Linked DNA regions of Caenorhabditis elegans. The protein of the gene in region 2 interacts with the protein of the main gene of each other region in a pairwise test. Each region holds a gene or a part of one and is shown on either strand. Other genes may lie near its edges. The genes, in order: mrg-1 and hcp-1.

The links.
Region 1: the proteins of hcp-1 (region 2) and mrg-1 interact in a two-hybrid assay, tested with the Caenorhabditis elegans proteins (one study listed by BioGRID).

The regions. Positions count from the first base shown.
Region 1 is NC_003281.10:12,868,878-12,876,281, forward strand, and holds mrg-1 (Mortality factor related protein 1), read right to left. Parts: upstream 5,778-7,404; coding exon 5,283-5,777; intron 5,224-5,282; coding exon 5,075-5,223; intron 4,155-5,074; coding exon 3,935-4,154; intron 2,791-3,934; coding exon 2,641-2,790; 3' UTR 2,397-2,640; downstream 1-2,396. Other genes in the region: spcs-2 (Signal peptidase complex subunit 2), read left to right, coding at 6,154-6,234, 6,289-6,750; cec-7 (Chromo domain-containing protein), read right to left, coding at 6,990-7,295, 7,347-7,404. UniProt on the Caenorhabditis elegans protein: Protein involved in the remodeling of chromatin thereby regulating various processes including transcription, chromosome synapsis and genome integrity.
Region 2 is NC_003283.11:6,591,645-6,600,836, reverse strand, and holds hcp-1 (HoloCentric chromosome binding Protein), read right to left. Parts: upstream 6,644-9,192; 5' UTR 6,612-6,643; coding exon 6,561-6,611; intron 6,504-6,560; coding exon 5,902-6,503; intron 5,858-5,901; coding exon 5,356-5,857; intron 5,307-5,355; coding exon 5,004-5,306; intron 4,953-5,003; coding exon 3,039-4,952; intron 2,992-3,038; coding exon 2,728-2,991; intron 2,676-2,727; coding exon 2,113-2,675; intron 2,064-2,112; coding exon 1,835-2,063; 3' UTR 1,629-1,834; downstream 1-1,628. Other genes in the region: ZK1055.6 (Protein F37C4.5), read left to right, coding at 1-318, 1,130-1,582; ZK1055.2 (Nucleotide-diphospho-sugar transferase domain-containing protein), read right to left, coding at 7,203-7,416, 7,463-7,581, 7,629-7,796, 7,841-7,905, 7,954-8,176, 8,221-8,303, 8,583-8,715.

The DNA.
Region 1 (7,404 bases), on a different chromosome or scaffold from region 2:
CCCAGATCCGCAGTGCATAGCACTTGAAGAACGGATTGTCCTTTTAATCTTTCAAAAAGAATCGAAGGATCTCCCGTGTGGTTGTGGGGACAATGAGAGGGAGGCTTAGATCACCACCTAACCTGTGGTAGATCGCAGCCCTATCCACAAAGAAAATCTGTGGACGTCCTCAAAGAAGGCCGCCCGTGCCCTCGGACTGGCCAACAAACTTAAAGGGTGGAGAGGAACACTAATGACGAGCGACTGAAAATGGCGCTAGCGTCACGTTTTCGCACATTAACAACAAAGAAGCCCACGGCCCGAAAAAAGCCCAAGCAGCCCACGGCTTAAATTGCAGACCAATTACCATACTACGAGTGCTCCTTTTCGCTCCATGAGTCGTCGCCGCTGTCGTCCTTCCGTCCAACCTTCGTCCAACAGTCCCTCCGTCCATCCGTTCAATCAATTTTTGCTGGAGTATCTAACGCATCTGAAATTGAAAAATATTAATATTTGATTTCAAAAGCCCACGGCCCAAGAGAAGCCCGAGAAGCCCAAGAAGTCCACGGCTTAAATTGCAGACCAATTACCTTCCTATGAGTGCTCCTTTTTGCTCCATGTGTCATCGTCGATGCCACCCATCCGTCCCGTGCTGGAGGATCCAACGCGTCTGAAATTGAAAAATATTATTTATATTTTACTTTTTTAAAGCAAAAATGGAAGACGCATAGCAGAAAAAAATCAATCAATATTTTGAAAAACGGGGAAAAATGCCCAGAAAATTTTACAATTTCTCTAGCCAGAAAAAAATTGGAAATTGTTATTGTTTTAAACTACAGTAATCCTACAAAATTCCTACAGTACTATTACGGGAGCACTACAAAATTTTGAGAATGCGTATTGTGCAACATTTATGACGCGCAAAATATCTCGTAACGAAAACTACAGTAATTATTTAAATGACTACTGTAGCATTTGTGTCGATTCACGGGCTCAATTTTCGTAATGTTATAAACACGTGTGCGCCTTCAAATAAAAAACAACATTTTGTTGACGCGTTTTAAAACATCGAAAAAAATTGAAAGAAACAAAAGTTTGTAACTACAGTACTCCTTAAAGGCGCACACCTTTTCGCTTCTCAGAAAAACTTGCGTCGTTTCGAAACCCTATACTTTAATCTTAAAATCGATAAAAACGCGAAGTTTTGCGGTGAAACATTTGTCAACGTGCAACTCGAAAAGAAAAAATCACGAAAAATCAGAAAATCCATTCTGTGAGAAAAAAAAAACAGCCGTACTCCAAGCCACCCATTGGAAAAAATGACAAAAAATGCAAAACAATTCCTCACCTGAACAGAGAAAAAATGTCGCGTTGAATGAGAGAGTGGGACGAAAAAGGAGTAGATCAAAAAATAAATGTTTGTGGCAGGTCTGGAATCTTTCGAATACTCGTTTTAAAATCATTTTAAACACTTTTAAATCATTAAAATTAGATTTTAATTAATCAATTTATTAAAATATCAGTTGTGGTAAAATTTAACTGCGCCATCTGATAAACTGATTTAAGATTGTATTCGCTGCCGCTGAATTAAATGTTTTGCGCGTCAATTAAAATGCCTTGTACGCGAATGCGCGTCGCCTGCAAACACAAACAAAATGCTCCTAAAACTGGCTATTCTTGCCAAAATCTTCGACTGCGTTGAGATGATTTCGGCGTTTCTTTTTTTTGCGAAAATTCGGTCATGTAGAAAGTGTAGAAATACTTTGCTAAATATTTTTGATATTTTAGTCGAAAAATTGTATCAAAGAAAATGACCGAATTTTCCCAAAAAAAAGCGGCTGAGCGAGAGGAAACCCTTTTGGGATGTTTTTTTTTCTTTGAGACTCAAAAATTTCTTTTCAAAAAAAGACAACTTCTTGTAATTTTTGAGAATGCGTATTGAACAACATATCCGACGCGCAAAATATCTTGTAGCAAAAACTACAGTAATATGACTACTGTAGTGTCGATTTACGGACCCGGATTTTTGAATTGTTTGAATAGTGATAGAAGAAAATTAAATATCGCTGTCACTATTTAAAAATAAATTCAATTCGAAAATCGAGCCCGTAAATCGACAAGAATTTTCGCTACGAGATATTTTGCGGGTCAGTTATGTTGTTCAATAAGCATTCTCAATATTTAACCATCTTAATCATGAAACTTCAAAATCGGAAGAAAAAAGTATATTCTAATATTCAAAAAAATCTTCAGTCTTCCTCTTCTTTCCAGTCTGGCACGTGGAATGCGAGATGGAATAGTTTTGGGGGCACGCAGACATTATATCAAATCTCGATAGGCTAAAAATGGCGGGGAGTTGGAAGAGAAGAAGAATCTGGAAAAATATGAATGTGGGGGGCTATTGAAAAGAAAATGAGAATCATATTCATTAGAATAGTTGGGAAACAACTAAACGGAAAATTGAACGATAATGGAATGCGAAATGTGGAAGTCGTCAGAAAACGTGAGATTAACGTGAACAAAATATGGATCTCCACGATTTCACAAAAACATAATGGTGGGGCTAGCTTTGGAAAATAATGAACAATGTATAAAATTATTGAAGTTATATCGGTGTATTGAAGATCGTCTGGGATGGAACACATGATGAAGGAGATCAGTCTATTGATTCGCTCCAACTCCGTCGTCGGCGGCGAGAGATCGGCGATAGTAGTCGTTGGAGGCACCTTGATAATCAGACGATCCTCTGTAGTACTTCCCGTGATTCTTATTCAGGAACACAATCAAATCGTGAACTCCAATCATGATGCGCTGAAAATTGATTTATTTTATTTTTGGAGCATGGGACTACGCTCAGTGGGGAAATTGCTTTAAAACACGCCTATGGTACCACAATGACCGAATATCATGATTAAAAAAATTCAAAAAAAAATTTCTAGATTTTATATGATTTTTCGAAAATTGAAAAAATCTCAGTTTTCACCTAATTATTTTTGAATTACCGTCAATTGGATTTGTTCGATGGAGCGCGCTTGCATTATTTTCATTAATTAATTTTATTTTTTCTCGTTATTTGGCTGGTTTTCTTCATTTTCTATGCTTTTAAAAAGGACAAATGCGAAATGTTTGTTAAAAAGTAATTGAAAATGAGTAAAACTGTGAAATATACTAATCTCAGGCTTGTCGGAACTCAGAATATCACAGTTTTACGCATTTTCAATTACTTTTTAACAAACATTTCGCATTTGTCCTATTTATTTCTTTCATTTTCCGAGGAAAAAACATAGAAAATGAAGAAAACCAGTCAAATAACGAGAAAAAATAAAATTAATTAATGAAAATAATGCAAGCTCGCTCCATCGAACAAATCCAATTGACGGTAATTCAAAAATAATTAGGTGAAAACTGAGATTTTTCCAATTTTCAAAAAATCATATAAAATTTATAAAATTTTTTTGAATTTTTTATCATGATATTCTGTCATTGTGGTCCCATAGGCGTGTTTTAAAGCAATTTCGGGCTCCTGAATTCACGGAAAATCGTTTTTTTTTGCTATTTTTTATTTATATTAATGTTGAGAAAAATGATACGCATTGAAAAAATGTAAATTTTGGAAATTTGGCCTCAAACTGGATCGAAACCGTCAGTTTTTCGATTTCAGGATCGTAAAATATTCAATTTTGTGGAGAAAACGCAGATTCACAAAAAAAAATTGATTTTTAAAATTAAACAAGGCAATTTCCCCATTTTTCAATTTTAAAAATCAATGTTTTGTGAATCTGCTTATTCCCTACAAAATGGGATTTTTTATGATCCTGAAATCGAGAAAATTGACGGTTTCGATCCAATTTTCGGCCTAATTTTTCCAAATTTTACACCTTTTCGCCAAAAAAAAACAGATTCCGTGTGGAAACCAGATTCAGGAGACGCTCCAGGAGTTGAACTTCGAACATACGTTAATAACATGATCATTCCATTGAGTGAGCTTCAGGTAGTCCGGGAGCTTTGCGAGCATTCTCAAGAAATGCACAATTCCGTACTCTTGAGATGGACGGAATCCACTATCCTGCAGGGCGGTCGGGTTTGTGATGTCGATTCCCTTCTCCATAGCTCGCTTTTTGACAAGGTCATTGTACTGTGGCCGCTCGAACTTATAGAGCAGTTGGTAGCTGGAACTAAACAATTCATCCTTACATCGTAACTGTTTCAAGTGGGATTGGGGCGACTATTCTACGAAGCGGAGGGCATTATGTGTACTCACTGCTACTTTTATCGAACGAGGGACGAGGAAAAGCGGTTTCTAGGCCATGGCCGAGGGGCCGACAAGACTTAGCGGCAATTTATCTTGCTTTGTTTTCCGCGTGTTTTCTTTTGTTTTTCAAAAAAATTTTCCGTTTTTTCTTATTAAAACTAAATAAAAGATAAATAAATATTTTTGTAGATGCCAAAACAATTTCCAGGTGAAAAAATTGTGTATTCAGTCGGCAAGAAGCGGTGAAAGTGGTCAATGTTATATGATGGATTACGGTAATACTAAACCTAATCGTTTTTCTGAAACATGGCATTTATTCTGCTTAGAGACTGAAACTATTCGATTTTCATAACGAGACCGCTCAAAAAGTTCTGAGATTTTTGCACAAAAAGTTGAATTTTGAAAATCTCAAATCTTTTTCAGCGGTCTCGTTATGATGAAAATCGGGTAGTTTCAGTCTCTAAGCAGAATATATACCATGTTTCAGAAAAGGTTTAGATTTAGTATTCCCGTAATCCATCATATAACATTGAGCACTTTCACCGCTACTTGCCGACTGAATACATAATTTTTTCACTTGGAAATTGTTTTGGCATCTGCAAAAATATTTATTTATCTTTTATTTAGTTTTAATAAGAAAAAAACGGGAAAAGTCTATGAAAAATTAAAGAAAACACGCGGAAAACAAAGCAAGATAAATGGCCGCTGAAACTTGTCGGCCCCTCGGCCATGGGCTAGAAACCGCTTTTCCTCGTCCCTCGTTCGAAAAAAGTTGCAGTGGTACTAAACATTGGGCTACGTGCAATTTGCATGCATCTGTTTAACATATTCGAATTAACCAACCCCAAAGTGACATTAAAATAGTCGACGAGTCCACGCGCGGTGCAAATCAGAGCCAAATTCGTGATTTTTATATCAGCTTCCTCGTATTCGATGAGCAGATCATCGACCGTTCTCATTTGCTCATTACTGACCGGAATGGTTTTGATGTACTGAAAATGTTGGATTTGAAAATCGGAAAAAATGATATTTTAATTTTTTTTATGCTTACGTCCTCGATGATTTGATCAACTGAATACTCGTGTGGCACGATGTTTATGAAATAACGGCAGACAAGATCGTAGTCATCGATCAGGATCTTTCTCAGTGGCTTCGGAAGCTCGACCTTCATATCGTCGGCGGTCATAACCGGCGCAATTGTCACCGATTTCGCCTTTTTTCCCTTCGACGTCCCCGGAGTGTCATCACGATCGTCTCGTGGTGCTTCAGCCGCAAGACTTTTCTTCTTCGGCTTCAATGCAGTTGTTGGCAGCTCTGCGTTGTGTTTCTCTGCATACTCCGAGGCTGTTCCCTTGAAAATGCGGTCTTTCTCCTCGCCGACTGGGATTTTCTCATCGTATCGATTGTTCCAGCCCTTGAAGTGAACGCAGTAGAGTTCCTTGCCATCGCTGTTGGTTTTGATATCAGTAATTTTGGCATCGTATGGTTTGCCTTTGTAGATGCACGCGACGTTCTCGCCGACTTCGAAGTTCTTCTTTGAAGACATCTGAAGGAATTAAAGAAATTAATCGATTAATTGGTGTTTTAAGCGAGTTTTAGCAGCAATTCTAGCCAATGATGTATATTTGAACGATTTTTAATCAAAAAATAGATTAAAAATATCGAAAATTCGATAAATTTATCGATAAAAACAAAAAAAAAGCTTTTCTCAAAGCTCAACGGCATTTTCGCAATTCAAACCCCCCTGCGGCGCGGTTTTCTAAGCAAATGCAATAGCGCCGCGCACGAAAAAGTACGCAAACACCACGACGCAATAATGCAGACTTCCAATTTTGAGACGTCACCACTAGCTTTTTGCTCATTTCTTTTGGGTTTTTTTGGATTTCTATTCAATTTTTATTCTCAAATATATTAATTTTCAGATGACGGACGAGCCGGTGAAAGTTGTGAACAAATGGGACGGTCCAACAGTGAAGAATGCCCTTGATGAAGTCGTCAAAAAGGTTTGCTCTCCGAAACTCCAAAATTAAAATTAAAATTAAAATCTTTCGTTTCAGATTCTGAACGACAAAGTCGGATGGACGGAATCGCATAATCTAATGAATCTGCGTCTTCTCATCTCATTCATCGGCGTCGCGTTCTCCGCGTTCGCCTGCGGCTACGACTACTACGAGCCGTTCCCAAAGTCGAAAATCGTGCTCGCCGTGTGCTCGGTTTCCTACTTCATATGCATGGGAATTCTTCAAATGTATCAGTGGTACGTCGAGAAGGACTGCATCTACGAGGCCACCGAAGTCGACGGAAAACAATCGAGAAAATGGGCGTGGAGCTCGGAGATCAAGGCTCACGACGATAAGTACACGCTGTCGGCCGAGTTTAAGAAGGAAGGACGCTCTGGACAGGGAAAAATCACGAAATCTATCGGAGCTTATATCGATAACGATGGAGAGATCATCGTGCCACTTGTGAAGAAGGAGGTCGACGACTTGTACAACCGCTTGATTCGTAGCGAACAATAATTTATTTAATTTATCTGGTTTTCTTGGCCTAATTTATTTCCCCTTTTCTTCGCTTTTCATGGGTGCCCCTTTCTCTCTCCATCTATCCTGTTTCTTGTCTGTCAAAAGCTAATATTTCCAGCATTTTATACAATATGAACTTGTCAATTTCGGTAAGAATTCATTGTACAAATAGCTTGAAAAGAACAATTAACAAACACAAAATTTTAGCAATTTAACAATTTATTAGCAGATCCCATCTACTTCTTCATCTCGAGCATCTCTGCGTACTTCGCGGCCGAGCCCTTGAACAATCGACCCTGCTCCTCGCCGACTGGAATTTTCTCATCGTAACGGCTGTTCCATCCTTTGAAGTGAACGCAGTAAAAATCCTTCCCATCAGTGTCGGTTATGATGTCAACGATGTACGCGTCATATGGCTTTCCGTTCTGTGTGCACGTGACTTGCTCACCGATTATGAATTGTTCTCTACGTTTTCCGACTAGCCGCGGAGCGTTCTCTTTCGTCGCTTGAGGCTCTGTGGATTTTTCATGGTTTCTAGCGGACTGAAAATGCAAAATTTATTATTTAAAGCTTCAATATTCTCTGAGCAGTACCTTGCGCATTGTGACAACTGGAGCTCGGTAACCATCTGCTATCCCTTTAAAAATACGG
Region 2 (9,192 bases):
ATGTTGTCCAATTATTCCAACGAGATTGATGATGGTGTAGAAGAAGTACTTCAAACAATGGCTCCACCTCCAATGGAAGTCACAAAGAACACTTTGAGTACAGAGTTTAGAATCGCACGGAAAGCGACTATTTTAAACGGTGTAGACGATCATAAAGTGACTATCGGCACTATTGAACTGATACCATCACTTTTACATCAAAGTGTTCCATCCAAAAATGCATCAGCGTTGTTGACAGCTTCAGCAGTCAATACTTCTGTACTGCCACTTTTGAGTGGTGAAACTTCAATCTTTTTGAACAATGCTTTTGTTGCAAAGGTGAACGATTGTATCAAATTTTCATAGTTTTCTCTCAAAAATATAATAGTGTAGGATCCCGTTAAACAGATGCTTTCCAAAAGTGCTCATTTCAGGAGTGGGCGGCAATTGCCGTTCGGCAAATTAATTTGTCGACAAATTCGGCAAATCGGCCAATTGCCGATTTACTGATTTGCCGGAAATTTTCAATTCCGACAATTTGCCGGTTTGCAGATTTGCCGGAAATTTTCATTTCGGCAAATTGCCGATTTGCCGTTTGCCGGATTTCAGATTTGCCAGAAATGTTTAGAGGGATTTATTATAAGAAGGAAACACTTAAAACTGTGTCTTTTTGAATTTTTTTTCCGTTGTTTCTACATATCTTCCTAGAATTTGTTTACTTTTCAAAATAGATGTAGGAACATTCATAGTTTTTTCACACACATACATACATACACATACATATTCCGGCAATTTACTGATTTGCCGATTTGCCGGAAAAAATCGCTTGCATCTTTTCGCGAAATTCCGAGTGTTGCAAAAGCATATTTAAAATATAAAAATCGTGAAATTTTTTTTGACTAACTTCCAAATTAGGATAAGTGAAAACTGAGAGTTAATTTGAAAATATAAAAATCTCCACAAAATCGAAGATATTTGCACTCGAAATCTCGAAAAATGAGCACAAAAAAAAACCAAGAAAGGGGTACCATAAACTTCCTCGCGGCGAGACCCATCCAATTAAATCCGTGTGCCTTTAAGTTCGCGTTTCAGAAAATTTCAAACTTACAATACATACTTTTCGGAGAATTTATTGCAATTCATGTTTCAGAGTCACATGAAAGATGTGTCACCAGGTGAACGATTCACCTGTTCTCTAGGCGTGGACACGGCCATTCGTATCGAATATAAGCCAGCCAAAAAGTTCCATGAAGAAGGCGGTTACATCACAAAACATTCAACTCATGCCACCGAGCAGACGATTAGTGTAAAGAATACAAGAAGTGGACCGCCTGTACTGTTAACAATCAAGCATCATGTACCACGTAGCACAGATGAGAAGATACGTGTGAAACTGACATCTCCAGTTGGCATTACCTCTGATCAAACTGATCAAATTAATTCAGAAAACGCTGAACCAAATGTTGGAATTATTCTGAACAAAGATAACAACTTGGAGTGGACTATCAAATTAGACGCTATCAGTTCGAAGGATCTATTGATTAAATGGATTGTTGAACATGCGAAAGGAGAGAACATCGAACTTCGCGAAAATTTGCAATGATAATAATCCTGTGAAATTTCTGAGCTGTAATATATCACTTTTTCACTATAAATGACGTCACCTTTATTCAGGATCTTCTTTGATTGTATTTTAATGAGACTAAAAATCGTTGATAAATTTAAAAACCCGTTTATTCTGACCCTAAAAGCAAATAATATTTGACAAGTAAATATGGGTTCAGAACGGGTATTCATGGCACATATGTTAGTGGGGGACGGTGAGAGATCTAGTGGGGTGAGAGAATCTTATAGCCTATTGGTGTTGGCAGTTTGATCGATTCTTCTTCGATGGAGTTTCGCGAGCCGACTTCTCCAAAACGTGATCCTCCGGATGATGATTTGAAGCATCTATCTGCCGGGCAGTAGTATTCGACATGGTTTGAAGACGATCTTGGAAGGAGTTCTGCGCATCTTCGAAGGCATCCTCATGAGCAGAGTTTTGCGGTTCGACAAGTGAGCTTTCGCGGCTCAGTTGTTTCACACTGAAAATAAAACGCTCAACTTGTCAATTTTAATACATGTTCAACTCACCCAAGTCTTGCTTGCTCGATCAGTCCCATTACTCGTGGCGGCGTCTTTACACCCTTCAGCTGCTTGATCTCGGACTGAAGTGTCATGATCTTGTCCTTATACTCCCGCTCGTCATCATCAAATGCATCACAAACTTTCTCCAATCGCTGGATTTCGATTTCAGCCCTCACCAACTTTTCCTCAAGTTCCAGAATACGAGAATGTGCTTGTTCCAGTGCTTCCGACTGTTCTTTATTTTCAACTTGAATCAAAGTGATGTCGTGTTGAGCTTGTTCTTCGACTTCAATGACACGACGGTCAGATGCTTCCATCTTCTCATGCATTTCTCCAAGCTGTCGTTGCATTTGCGAAAGCGATTGAGTGAGAGTGCCGAGTTGCATTGCCTGCGACTTCCAGACATTTGCTTCTTCCAGGCGAGCCTCAAACTGCTGTGAGATTGTTTCGATCCGCGACTCCAGAGTAACAATCGTGTTCTCTTTCTGAGAGAGTGCTTCCTCTGCAGCCTCGAGTTTTTCGTTTGCATTGCTCAAAGACGAGTTCCACTCCAATCGGATCGATGCTTTCTGTAAAATTTATCAATAAATTTGGAATTAAAAAAATGTCCGTTAAACTAACCTCCACTTCGAAAGCTTGCACGAGGTTTAGCATCTGCTCCTGAACTTTTTCGAGTTCTTCGACTTTCTCCTGCTTTGCGTTTTCGGTGTCAGCTAGGGCCTTTTGTGCAAACTCAATTGATGCTTGAAGCTCTTTAATGCGTGAATTCAACTCCTCTGACTTGGCTTGAGATTCTTCGATTGTACTCTGTGATGTCCGAAGAGTATCAATTACGGATTGGAGGCGTTCTTGTTCTTCCTTGTGCTTTGCAGCTTGATCCGCGTTCTGAAAAAATACAATTTTATAAATATAAAAGAGAAATTTCGTCAAACCTCAACATCTCGGCTTTCAATCTTGGCCACTAGTTCCGCAAGATGTTCTTCTTGATCCATCATTGCCTTTGTAGACTTTTCTACTTCTCCACGAAGCTTATCAATAGTCTCAGCGGAAGTCCTCGTCAGTTCAATGAGCTCGGCGTTTGCAGATTCCAACTGAGAAGACATTTCGGATAACTGATCCATATTCAAGTTAGTATCAATTTCCATCTGCTCATTTTGACTTTTCAGCTCACAGATTTGCGATTCAAGTAGTGACACTTTGTCGGTGAAGTCTTGGATGGTTTTGCTTTTTTGAACGTTTTCAGCTGTACTACTCTCGATAGCAGTTTCTAACTCCTGAATTTTACCTTCCAACGAAGTTACGAGATCAGAAGATCTGCCTTTTTCTTGAACAGCAGCGTCAAGTTCAGCACGAAGAGCTTCATACGATTCACCTTGTTCTGATTTAAGAGCTTCCATAACGACTTGAACAGCATTGGTGTCCTGGCGAGCAGTTTCAAGCTCGCTTTGAAGATCAGAGACTTGCACGTTTAACTCTTGAACCCTGGCATCTGAAGTTCTCAAGTCTTCCTGAAGACGATCAGTGAGATCCGAAAACTGCTGAGCCAAGTCGAGTTGAGATTGAAGCTCCAAAACCTTACCGTTGGAATCCTTCAAATTGGCACGAAGATTGTTTAATTCCTCCAAAGGTTCCTTCAAATTCTCCAACAAAGATTCCAACTCTTTGACTTTATCTTCAGAAGCGACAGCATCAGCCCGAGTTGATTGCATTTCTTCTTGGAAGGCGGTCAATGAAGCTGTCATTTCAGAAATCTGTGCTTCAGACGAATCCAACTTCAACTGCATTTCCTTATTCGCTTCAGTGATGACAGAAAACTCCCGACTAGAAACTTCAATTTGCTGTTCGAGTTCAGACACTTGAATATTCAATTCTTGGACCCTGGCATCTGAAGTTCTCAAGTCCTCCTGAAGACGATCAGCGAGATCCGAAGATTGCTGAGCCAATTCGAGTTGAGATTGAAGATCCAAAATCTTATCGTTGGAATCCTTCAAATTGGCACGAAGATTGTTTAATTCCTCCAAAGGTTCCTTCAAATTCTCCAACAAAGATTCCACCTGTTTGACTTTATCTTCAGAAGCGACAGCATCAGCTTGAGTTGATTGCATTTCTTCTTGGAAGGCGGCCAAAGAAGCTATCATTTCAGACATCTGAGCTTCAGACGAATCCCATTTCAACTTCATTTCCTTACTTGCTTCAGTGATGACAGAAAACTCCCGACTAGAATCTTCAATTTGCTGTTCGAGTTCTTCATTCTTTGCTTTCGACATGGCAAGATCGGCTTGAAGTTCTTCAAAATTCCTCAGAGAAAGTTTCAACTCTTCGTTTTGCAAATTGGATGACTGAACCTCACGTTCAAGCTTTGAAAGCACCTCAATAGAAGACTGAAGTTCGTCAATCTTTACTCTTGACAGTTCAATATCCAATAAATACATTCGATGAGCCTCTTCCATCTTCAACTCCAGATTTTCCACCTTAGTGACGGCAACATCAGTTTCTTGTTGTGAAGATAAGAGTTGAGCAGCCACCATCTCCAATGAAGACGTTAGTTCCGCAATTTTTTCGTTTGAAGATGTCAGATGTACATTCAACGAATTGTTTTCATCAGACTGTCTCTTCACTTCTTCCAACTGCATCTTCATCTCAGAAGTCAATTCCTGGATTGTAGCTTGCGATGCCTCCAACTGTGCATTGGGCTCACTCGTGGATCCTGACTCAAGTTTTGCAGCTTCTAACTGGTTCTCCAAATCAGAAATCTCTTTAATCATGAGCGATCTGAACTCTTCGAGTTGTTGCTCGAGCTCCACAACACGAGAATTATTGGTGGCTTCAAATCGCAGCTTTTCGACCTGAAAAATAAAAATATATATATTGATTTGTGATTATTCAATTAAGCCAACCTCTGCTTCAAGGCCGTTCACTTTTTCCTCGGCATTCTTGATGTTTTCGGAAGCTTTTTCTTGTACCACCATTAACTCTGCTTGAAGTTTTTCTTTGTTCTCAGACGACAGTTGCACCTCCAATTCAAGTTGTTTGATCTTGTCGTGAAATTCTTGGATCTCCAAGTTTGCTTGTTGGGATTTGAGGGCGAGTACTTCTGCCTCCAGTTTCTCCATATCCTCAATCATCATCTTGCGAACAAGTTCGTGCTCATACTTCAGCGATTCACTTGTTGTTTGTGATTCGGTGCGAATCCTTTCCATCTTAAAAATAATTAATTAAATTTACTTCGGCAATAAATTCTATAAAAACCTCTTCACTGAATCTCGCTTCTTTCTCTACTAGATCGCGCTGAAGACTTTCGTTCATTTGTTTGGTATTCTCAAGCTGTTTGATTGCTTCTTGATGGCCTCCAATTAACTCCCGAATCCGATCTTCCGAAGCAGTCGCTCCTTGTTGCATCGAATCTACTTTCAAAGCCTTCTGGGTCAACTCCTCGATTTGAGCGTTCAGAGCAGCAAGATTGTGTACCAACTGATTCTTCTCTTCGTCAGGCTCTTCCAGCTTCAAGCGTAACTCCTGAACTTGTTTCTCGAGAACTTGTTCTCGTGCCTTAGCGGCTTCGCGGTCAGATTTTGCCTTTTTCATTGCAGAATCTACTTGCTGAGTCAGCATCTTTTCCTCAAAAATTCGAGCTTCTTGAATCTCACTGAGCTGTTGACTGTGACTTTGACGGAGAAGCTCGATCTGCGACTGAAGAAGTTTGATTGACTCCTCATGCTCGGAATTCTGCTCCAACATTTCAAACTCGTGTCTGAAATTATTTTGTTTTAAGCTATAAATACGACAATTTCTTACAGTGAGAAGTCAATGTGACCTTTGACAGGAAGCACTGGGGACTGGGGGACATCTCGGACTGGCTTTGTAGGCTGATCTACTCCTTTGGCGATTTCCGTGAGAAGCTGTGGATTAGATACTGTTGGAGTACATTCTCGGCTCAGAATCTGGCTCATTGGAGTACGAGAAGCAGTAGGCGTAGTCTCTCCGTCAAGTGCCAATTGATTATCGAAATCATTGGACAGTGTGGCATCGGCGTCCGTCTCGTCGCTTTCTTGAACCATGCTCAGGTTGCTCGTGCAATTTGAGGTGTCGTAGAGCTCAGATTGTTCTAAATTCACATCAACATTGCTGCCCGGAGTGATGGAAGCATCGTTGGTTCCCACGAAGGATGCATCATCAGTAGCCAAAGCTGTTACTGTAGACAAATCCAGTAGACTTGTGTTGTCGGCAGGGGTGATAGAAGAAGCAGAAGACGGGCGGGAATCATGCTCGAGGCAGGTCTCCTCCAGGTTGCTATCGGCCATATTGCCCGACGAAGTTCCAAAAATGCGTTTCGGTTCTCTTCCTAGTCGTGATTTAGGCGTAGCGGCGGAAAATGGCGACTCGGTTTGCTGGCGCTTCTGAAATAATTTATATTGTCATTGATTTAATTAAAATTTTGAGAAAATTCAACTTACATTTCCAGCTGAGCGCTTGTTCTCGTTGTCGAATATCGGCGATTCGTCCATTGTGAAAGAAACGTCGATTTATCTATAAATTAGCAATAATGATTATGGAAATTACACAAGGGATATTAAAAATCAAAAAGGGCGCGTGATTTGAAAAAAGGAGGAAAAAAGTACTAAACAGGAAATTAAGGGGAAAATAAGTTTTTAGAAATATATCTATTAAATACTGCGTGTGAAACTTTTTGACGTTATGTGGCAACAAATAAAGTAACAAAACAGTATTTTCCAAATGTCAGATAACTGAAAATGAACGTTCATGAATAATGAATGAATGAACGAAATGAAAAGTGCCGGATTCCCGCGCGTGGTGATTCAAAATTGAAACCTTCCCGCCATGTGCGGTGGAGCACGGTTGCTCTTACCGACCATAAGGTCAAAATATAATAGGTCTACAAGTGAAAATCGGTATATTTTATTTATTTTGCAGTTTGTGGCCTTGTAAAAATGGGGTTGATTGGAACAAAAAAATTAAAAACCATCGTTTGCGTTTTATGTAGTTTTCACAAATTTTTATTCCAAAAATATATCTTGTCTTACAATTCAAGTAAATATACATACACAAAATCTGAATTTAAAGTTTAAAATTGCTGGTTACTGAAACAATAAACCCATCATCCGGATATAAGACAAAACTTGCTGAAATGCAACATTTTCTTCGAACATTCTCAGGCTTTTCAGAATTTCGTTTTTATCTCCACGAAGTCGTGAATCGTATGACCATGTCGAATTTTGAGGACTACATTTTTGAAGATCTATAGGCCCACTCAAAGGATTATACCAAAAATCTCGTCCCATTTGGCTAGGCCTGTAATACTTGAATAATTTTTAAAAAATTCAGGTAATTTGCCAACTCAAGCTTCACATTCGGCGTTTCTCTCAATTGATTCGTTTTCCAACCATGGAACATGAAATCTAACTCTGGATGCCACATCATTGATGTCAGCCAGCCGTCTTTAGCCCATCCTGTTCCCTGTACAGTTAATATTGTAGATGTTGTGGTATTAATTTTAAACCTACTTTTTTCATAATTCTAACTTTTCCAAAATCAGTGGATACGCCAAATATTGCTCGGATACATGACTCGTAGGTGAAGAGATCATCAAAATTTTTAGAATTGTTATAAGCTTTTTTGCATACTTTCGTATTTGCAGAAGCCTGTGGGAACAACTTTTCGGCAAGGAAAATCTAAACAATAAAATAAAAATTGAAATAGGAAGTTACCAAGTTACATGAAGTGCTCCATTATCCGTTCCATGAAAACTATTTGGTAACTTGTACTCATAATCAGCAAACTCTGCAATTTTATTAAATTCATCACAAAAATTTCGAATAAAAAACTAACCGTTTAATAAATCAATAGCATATTGAGTATTTCTTGCAATATAAGATCCAGCCATGATCTCCCAATTATAGAATCTATCATAGAATGTAACATCAATTCCATCATCCAAAAACTCTTCAATTTTTCGCTTTGGATTCACAACACCAATATCAGCGTCTAAGAATAGGATCGCATCAAATAATGGGAGAATCTTTGCGGAAACACAGTGGCGGCGGAAAAATTTCTGAAATGTTAGCTTTTTTTAAATTAAAAAAAATTAGAACTTACATCTTTATGAGCACATTTGAAATCAGTATCAACTGCGAGAACAAATTCATAATTATGGATTTTGCAGTAGCAACGAACCGTTTCTGAAAAATAACAATAGAACGTCATAATAAAACATTCCAAAATGTTTTTTAAAGTTTTTAAAATTTCCAGTCAAAGTTTTGGAAAATTGGCAAATTTTCGAAAAATATGGGCTTTAAAGAAATCCAGGGCAATGTGGCATGTTCCAAGAATGTTTTAACATAAATAATTAAAAAAAAATTAAAATATTAAAAATCCTTTTAAAAAAACCAGTTTTTTTACTTTTTTTAAATATTTGTTTTTTTAAAATCTGTTTGTATAACACTATTAAAAAAACATGCGAATAGCAATATCATAATTCTCCGGTTTTGTGTCATTCGTAACAACCATCACAATGGCTACTCGATTAACAGGATGAACCTCTCCCATGCTTTCATCTGCTCCAAATAACTTGAATTTGATTAGGTCATTGAGCTGAAATTTTCAATACGATTAACCGTAAATATTTGCATGTAATAGTTCCCCATTGTTGTCGATTCTGCCCCTTACGGAGCTATCCCGACAACCTTACAGTACTATAATATTGGTTTCCCATTGAATAGCCCACTATTCTTAACCAATATCCGTACTGTTAGGTCATCCAATTATTATCTCTTTATTACATTTTATTTCGTTCAAATCTATCCATTATTCGCCGAGATATAAACTTATCTACAAATATTCACATTCAAATCTCGCGCCACTATCTAATAGTAGCGCGATCGCGGCGAGACCCACGCGTCTCTAACTTCTTGGCATCGTGCCAAGTGCAACGACCACCCGCGATGACGTCGAATATGTTTGTCAGTTGCGAAGCAATTCCGGTGAAATCCACACGTTTTCATTTTCCCAACGTGTTGATATTTATTAAGTTCGTTAGATATAATTCCTAAATAACCGTTTTGTACTATC